Linked DNA regions of Canis lupus familiaris. The protein of the gene in region 1 purifies or fractionates together with the protein of each later gene. This does not show direct contact. Links are inferred from orthologs where the notes say so. Each region holds a gene or a part of one and is shown on either strand. Other genes may lie near its edges.

Region 1 (4,239 bases):
CTGAGCCACCCAGGCATCCCAGCAACTGTTTTTTATCCCTATTTTCCCAACAACTTAGCACAGCACCTGTCATTCAGTTGGTTCTAGATAGACATTTAAGGTCATGCTTTCACCATTTAATATGCTAATCATTTTTATTCTATGCCCTGAAATTTGACATGTAAAACCTGCCTGTACTTCAGTTTAGGATATTACTGATCACTTCTTTGTTACATAAAGTTCTGGTTTCTTATCATATTCCACTTATGTTTCCATGTTACATGAATCCTACAAATTAACCAATCTTTGGTGTTTATATTCCCATATGGAAAGCTACACACTGGCTTATCTTCAACATTACGAAATATGCTTAACGATATATAATTTGGCAGGGGTGCGGGGCACCTGGGTGGCTCAGCGGTTGAGCATCTCTGGCTCAGGGTGTGATCCCAGGGTCCTGGGGGGAGCCTGCTTCCCCCTCTGCCTATGTCTCTGCTTCTCTGTGTCTCTCATGCATGCATGAATGAATGAATGAGAATTCATCATTTTTAAATATATAATTTAAGTAACTACAGTTAAGTTTTCATTTTAAAGTACTTAAGAGAAAAAAAATAAATACTTAAGATACTATGTGCTCCTCCCCAGTGGTATTTTCTCTCATCCTTCCTAGCAGTAGTGTCCTGACTCCCATGCAGGTCTTTCTACCTTTATTTGCATCGTCTAGTGTTTTTAGAAGGTAGTACGAAGCAAAGTGCACGAGCCAGGTCACAGACAAGTTACCACCCTGGGTCCTCCACCCCCCTCAGTAACACCACAGGGCTGCCAGACTCCACTGCAACATGATGTTGCATTCTCTGATGACTTGGGGAAACTGGCTCTTAGGAGTGCCGAGCTTCCCACATGCAGTTCCCCCACTATCTGAAGTTTTTAATATTTAGTATCATTTGTATTCCTACAGATGCTTAGGAAACAGAACAATGAATCAAATTTCCCACCTTCGCTAAGGCCTGTTGCCAATCCCTAAAAGAGGCCAATCCAGAACAGGTAACAAGATGATGAGACTTAAGAACATCGTCCCAATTTCCTAATGGGTTTTTGACTCAACTACTTCCATGTATTTTGAGCTTAACGACTCTGATCAATAGCTTAGTCATGCTGTATCTAAAAAAGCCTTAAAATTTAACTAACGCAAAGAATCAAAGAACCGCCCTTCAATATACCAGTTTAAATAGCGAACCTCAAATTTTCTGTTGTCCTCACTTTTTTTTTTTTTTTAATTCATGAGACACACAGAGAGAGAGAGAGGGGCTGAGACACAGGCAGAGGGAGAAGCAGGCTCCACGCAGGGAGCCCGACGCGGTGCCAATCCCAGGATCCCGGGGTCACGCCCCGAGCTGAAAGCAGATGCTCAACCACTGAGCCCCCCCCCAGGTGTCCCTGTCCTCACACTTTAGAAACGTTTTTTTGCAAGGACTCCTTATGAAACGCCTACCGTAAATTGTTAATGTGTTGTTTAAATAATGAAACAATAAGCAACAATTCTAGCACAAAAAATAATAATTAAAAAAAAAAAAAAACAACCCACCACCTGGATCTGCACACCTTACGCTGTAAAACCACCCAATCCGCCAGGCACTACTACTACAGTTTCAAGGCGTTTAAAGGTCTTGGGGGGTCGAGAGGGCACCGCATTTGACAACCGCGTCGGGGCGGCTTCAAGTTTGGGAGCAGGAGCGACGCCAGCGCAGGTGGACGCGGAGGATGAGCGGGCTCGCGTCCCGCGGTCCAGGGGCAGGGGCGGCCGAGCAGGCGCCGCGGGGCCGGCCTCCCGGGGGGCCCCGGCAGCCGCCGCCCCCGAGCACGACAGGCGCGGCCGCCCAGGGCGGTGCCGCGGGAGAGGGCAGGGGCCGGAAGGAAGAGGGAGGATTCGGACAAAGCCCGGCCGGCCGCCCCCCCGCCGCGTTCCCGGGAGCGCCCCCCCCCCCGCCGCTCGGGGTCCGCAGCTGTTCCGCGAGCCGCCCCCCCCCCCCCGCAGCGCAGCGCAGCCCGGGGACGCGCGGAGGGGACCGACCGCGGGGCGCCGCCGGGGATGCGGGGCGGGGGCGCGGCGCCAAGGGCCCGACGAGGGGGCGCCACAAGTGCCCGTTGGGGTGCCGCGGCGGGGGACGGCCGGCCGCTCACCGTGCTGCTCCCGCGGGGCCGCGCGCTCGCTGTCAGCACCGGGAGGGCGCGGGCGCGGGCGCGTGCGCGGAGCCGGGCTGCGCGGGGCCCGCTGCCTCGATGCCTCAGGCGCGGCGCCGCGGTCACGAGCGAGGGGCGCCGGCGCGGCCGCCCCGCAGCATCCTCGGCCGCCCGCGAGCGCTGTCCCCCGCGGCTCCTCCCTGCAGCCGCCGCCCCGCGCCCGTCGGCTCCTGCTCTGCTCCGGCTCCGCCGCGCCCGCCGCCGAAAATGGCGTCTCGGCGTCCCTCCCCCGGCTCGGGGCTCCCGCCCCACAATGCCCCGCGCGGCCGTGACGTCACCGCCCGCCGCCGGGGGGCGGGGCGCGGCGGGGCGCGGCCGGGAAACTGAGGCCCGGCGCGGAGAGGAGGCTCGCGGGCGTGCGGGAGGGGGCGCTGGGGCGGGGCGCGGCCGCCTGGGACCCCGCGCCGGCCCCGCGCGCCTGCTCGCCCGCCTCTCGGCGCGCCGAGCCCCGGCCCCGCGCGTCTCCGGCGCGCGTCGCCGTCTCCCTGGAAGCCGCCAGGAGGGCTGTGAGCAGCCTGTCCACGGCGCGGCCGAGGGGCGAGGCCACGCAGCAGGCCCCGGGCCTTCTCCGGGGACACCTAGTCTTTGATCGCGACCCTGACCTTCCCCGCCCCGTTACGCCCTCGCCCCAGGGTCCTCAAGAATCCGAGCTCAGCGGGACTTTGCAGGCCTCGCTCGGAACTGCACCGCCAGGCTGGGCAGGGAGATGCCATCCCCGCGGCCGCACGCACCCCCTCCCCCGCGGCAGCCGTGCCACGACCTCCAGCCCCCGCCTGAAGGGCAGTACTTCCAGGTCAGAGCGCGCTCCTGGGCCTCAGCCTGCTGCACCGCCAGCTCTGCAGGCCTGACTCAGCAGCCAGCAGGAGGACGCATGCTGATTCAGGGGGCAATGCTCAGCTTTCTCTGCCTGCCACCGGCTCGGGAGGACCCCCCACCCCCACCACCTGGAGCCTGCAGACATCCCAAGAGCCGGGCCCTGGGGCACTAGTGACCAGGAGGCGTCCCTCCACCACCACCCCCCCATCTGCTTTTGAACTGCTCAGCTCTTCAGATAGATCAACCCAGCACCAACAGCCGGTTTAACCCTAGAATTACACAGCCAGTGGGGGAGTAAATGCTCCTCGATTTTCACAGGGAGATCCAATTACTTTTTTTTTTTTTTTAATTATTATTACTTATTTGACAGAGAGCACAAGCAGGGGGAGCAGCAGAGGGTGAGGGAGAAGCAGGCTCCCTGCCAAGCAAGGAGCCCAATAGGGGGCTTGATCCCAGGACCGGGGATCATGACCTGAGCTGAAGGCAGATGCCTAACGACTGAGCCATGCAGGTGCCCTCAATTACTTTACTGTTTTTTTTTTTTTAAGATTTTATTTATTTATTCATAAGAGACAGAGAGAGAGGCAGAGACACAGGCAGAGGGAGAAGCAGGCTCCACCGATGTGGGACTTGATCCCAGGACTCCAGGATTACACCCTGGGCTGAAGTTAGACGCTAAACCACTGAGCCACCCAAGGATCCCCTACTTTACTTTCATATAAATGCAAAGAGTCAGCTAAAAAAGGGGGAGGGAGAAGCAGTGAATCAAACCACCTTTCCCTTAATGATTTGGCCACACTGCTGCTTGGATGTCACCTACTCCTCAACAGGCACCTAGGGGCTGGGCACACATTTGTAACCAACATGCTCTAGAGACGAGAGGAGTGGGCTGAGTGAGGCCTGCAACTCTGGGTGCAGTGATTGTTCCCTCCACTCGCCCAGGGAGGACCTGAGATGCTTAATGTCCTCTTCTAATGAGCAGCCAAGATCTTAAATCCTTCCTACTGCTGTAGTCCATCCCTCTCCATCCCCACTGCTGCCACTCCGTTTAGGCTTTATTATGTGGGACTCGATCCTGGGACTCTGGGATCATGCCCCGAGTCACAGGCACACATTCAACCACTGAGCCACCCAGGGATCCCTATCCTTTTTTTTTTTTTTTTTTTTTTTATTCATTCAAAGAGAGAAAGGCAGAGACAAAGG
Region 2 (3,563 bases), on another chromosome or scaffold:
CTCATTACCTTCACATTCAGGGATTTCCTGGGGTGTCCCTCTCCCATTTGATTTAAGCTAGAGAGCAACCATCTTGCAGCCAGAAAAAGACTCCCTGATCTTTTTATAGGGTTTCACACAATGACTGGGGGCTCTCCAGCCTGCAGGAGCCGGCCTTGGAAGATACCAGGTAAGCTGGTGTAGCAGGGAGCCCAGGGAGAAAGGGCAGAGCTGAAAACACATCTGTGCCTCTTTCACTTTGGGCAATTTAAGGATCATAAACAATGCTTTGCTGTCACAGTGGTTCAGCTTAATTAGGAACAGGGCTGAAGGCCTGGCTATTTAAGTTTCTGTTAATTGAGAAGTTTCTACACTTCTCTCATTTTCCTTTCTAGTCTTGTGTCTGCTGAGGTAGGACATTATGAGGAGTCCTCCATCGTCTAGGGGAGTTGCTTTTGGTCGTTGGGACTTAGAGCAGAGAGAGGCAGCCACTTCAATGAGGAAAACGGAAACAGCCCAGCCCTTGGTTTCCTGACACATGCTACACTGTGGATAAGCCTGGAGGACATTATGCTGAGTGCAGTTAGCCAGTTACAAAAAGACAGATCCTGGATGATTCCACTTATGTGAGGTACTCAGAGGAGTAAAAATCACAGAGACAGAAAGAAGAATGGTGTTTGCCAGGGGCTGGGAGGGAGGCACAATGGGGAGTTACTGTTTAAGGGATTCCCTTAAACAGTTTTACAAGACGACAGTGATGGGGCAGGATGGTAGGGGTGTTGCACCACAGCATGAATGCATTTAATGTCACTGAACTTAAAGATAAGTAAATTTTATGTGGTGGTAAATTTTATGTGGGTTTTGTTTGGTTTTGTTTTATCATAACACAAATATTGGGGGGAAATAAGCAATATGACGTGCATTTGAACAGAGAAGGAAAGTGGACACACAGAAAGGGAAACAGAGTGGTAGAACTGATTACAAATGTTTCTTCCCTTGACTTTCAACTTTTCTGGAATGTTGTTATGTTGTTACACTGCTTTATAATAAACAAAGGGCGAAAGAGGATAGTATAGCCTTCTGCAGGCCCAAATAAAATAAATGAACTCTGCAGATCCTGACCATTCTGGGATTTTTTTTTTTTTTTTCATTATAGATGTAAGAAAGAAAAGAAAGAAGATGTACCAAGTATTTGCTAAATATGCTGGGCATTGCACTGAGGAATCTAATCTCCAGTTTAGTGAGAATATGAGTTTAAATCAAGTGTTCAGTTGGGTTTGAAAGAAAGCGAATGAAGTATAGATTAGGGTTTATTTTATGAGTCAGTTAGAAGAGCCAGTTGACATGTGGTGGCACCTGTCTTCAAGGCACAGCCATTTGGCGCTAGCGAGGGGGCTCCTGCTCTGTACGCACCAAACATTTCCTGTCCTGACTCCTTTGGACTGCCCCGTCTACCTCCCCACCCCATACCTTTGAAACCCAGTCATCCACCTAAGGAGCCGCAGCAGCAAGGAGGGGGACAGAGAGGCAGCAACTTAATACACAGGAGTTTCAACCAGCCCCTACTAGGGCCTGGTTGGGCCATCTGGAGGACATCCTTTCATTACCCTGCATGCCTGCCCCAGGCCTAGGCAGATGGAGTTCTCTCCATGAGGGAAAGCCCAACTTCCCTGGCTTCTCCTTGTCCCACTGCTTCCTATCTCTGCCCAGTATCCCTCGTTTGTAGTTACAGGCCCCTGCCTCTGAGACCTCTACCAGTTCCAATCTCTCCCTCCAAATCCATAGGCCTGGGGGATCTCACTTTGAGCAGAGGCAGGTCGGGAGCTTTGAGAAGGGAGAACAGGCACGGAACAAAGAACAAGGTAAAGTGGAACCAAACATGAATAAAGAAGGGATTAGTAAGGAAAGTAAAAGGGAAAAGTGAGGAAAACTTGCAAGTAGATTTTCCTAAATCCAAGGGAGCTCAGAGGATTTGGGTCTCCAAGGCACCTGGCCTCAAGAGTTCTCTTCACCCCTTCCCCTACTCTTACCTGTTTGTGAACCTTTGTAAGCTGTTCCAGGTTGTTCTCAAGAAAGGAAATCTTCTGCTTTTGGGAGTGAATCCCCCCACTGTCCTCGGGCTCCATTTCTGCACTCTGATTAAAGACGGAGAAAAGATGTGATTGTCCCACGGCCAAAGAGGCCTCACCCAGACCAGGCCAAGCCAGCTACACTGGAGGCCACAGGGCTTGGAGAAACCTGAGGCCAGCAGACAGTATGAGGGCTGGGAAGATGTCAAGGATGGCACTCACTTTCTTGACTCGAGTCGTGACGTCTTGAACGAACAGCTTGCGAAGGTTGTGGAGGGTCTGGAGTTCCCGGGCCTAGAAAGAATGATGACAAATTGGGACTGGCCAAATACCAGCTCAACCTTTTGCCTCCAAAACTATTGGAATTGTCAGTCTATCTGGTCAGGTGAGTCACTCATCCTTTAGGAAAAGATGTGTCCTGATTATGCCGCGGACTGACTCTGTATAAGGAATGGGGTTATGAAGGAATCAGGGAAAGAAATGAAGCCCCCACCTCACTCTGTTAACTTGGCCCAGAGGGAAACTACTCACAACTGTCTCCTCCAGACCCTTGAGGTCCTGCTTGGACTGTTCATGTCGCTCGTACAGAAATCTGGAGGGGAAGAAGGAAATGCAAGAGTCCCTCAGGATTACCTTTCTTCCCTCTCTCCTCCCTCTCCATTCCTTTGGTCTATACTTTATTGTTATTTATTTTGTAAGTTACCCACATTCTCTGTGCAGAAATTAGAAAAGAAAAAAAAAGTAAGACGAGTTTCATAAAAAGCACATAATTCTGTTACTTACAGATCAAACTGCCATTGACATTCTGGTGTCCGTCTTTTTGGACTCTTACTTCTATGCAGGTACATCCCACAAAAATTTCATGGGATCATACCATTCAACCTGTTTTGTAGCCTGCTTTTCACACTTAACAGAATATCACAAAGATCTTTCTAGGCTGGGGCAGCTAATATTCAATAGAGGTCATTTCTGAAAGTCTCCTTTCTGTTTTTTGTTTTTTGGTGTGTCCTTTCCCACCCTGTCATATGACTCTTCCGAGGCATCTACTTCCTGGGAACACCAGACCCCCACCTCCATCGCACCCTCCCTCTGCTGGTATGAGTGAGTAGCAGTCTGGACCATCACTCACGTCAGTTCCTGGAGTTTGCTGCTCTTCTCATGTTCTTCATTCTTCAGCTTCTCGTAGTCAGCCTGAAGCTTCTCTAGCTCTAACTGGAGCTTCTGATTCAGGCTGCAGAGGGCAAGGAGGTGTTGGAGAGAACAAGAAGCTATTAATGAGGGGTTAAGGAAAGACTGGCTCTGCAAATTGTTTCCTTCTGGTACAAGTGGGTCCAGTCAGGACTGGTGCATCTACGTTTGGATTATCAGAGGCAGGTGCACGCCACCGTTTGCACAACACAGTGAGGAACCATGGGCTATCTAATCATAAGAGCTCAAGGAGAAGAACTAGTCCTCACTCCTGTGCCTCCTGGAGTTGGGCTACAAAGCTGCGGCAGCTTTGGGGGAGTGGCACGT

What was found. The genes of interacting proteins can lie anywhere in the genome.
Region 2: the proteins of KLC1 (region 1) and KIF5A purify together in Homo sapiens (co-immunoprecipitation; 7 studies listed by BioGRID and IntAct, counting the BioPlex papers as one, with this or other methods). This does not show direct contact. The link is inferred for Canis lupus familiaris from reciprocal best matches to the Homo sapiens genes KLC1 and KIF5A.

Annotation. Positions count from the first base shown.
Region 1 is NC_049229.1:71,780,137-71,784,375, reverse strand, and holds the start of KLC1 (kinesin light chain 1), read right to left. Parts: upstream 2,844-4,239; 5' UTR 2,823-2,843; intron 2,489-2,822; coding exon of another isoform or gene 1,741-2,488; intron 1-1,740. Other genes in the region: basic proline-rich protein-like, read left to right, coding at 1,741-2,488, 2,853-3,013. UniProt on the Homo sapiens protein: Kinesin is a microtubule-associated force-producing protein that may play a role in organelle transport. The light chain may function in coupling of cargo to the heavy chain or in the modulation of its ATPase activity.
Region 2 is NC_049231.1:2,011,462-2,015,024, reverse strand, and holds part of KIF5A (kinesin heavy chain), read right to left. Parts: intron 3,280-3,563; coding exon 3,178-3,279; intron 2,641-3,177; coding exon 2,580-2,640; intron 2,343-2,579; coding exon 2,271-2,342; intron 2,115-2,270; coding exon 2,010-2,114; intron 1,471-2,009; coding exon 1,450-1,470; intron 1,180-1,449; exon of another isoform or gene 375-1,179; intron 170-374; exon of another isoform or gene 1-169. UniProt on the Homo sapiens protein: Microtubule-dependent motor required for slow axonal transport of neurofilament proteins (NFH, NFM and NFL). Can induce formation of neurite-like membrane protrusions in non-neuronal cells in a ZFYVE27-dependent manner.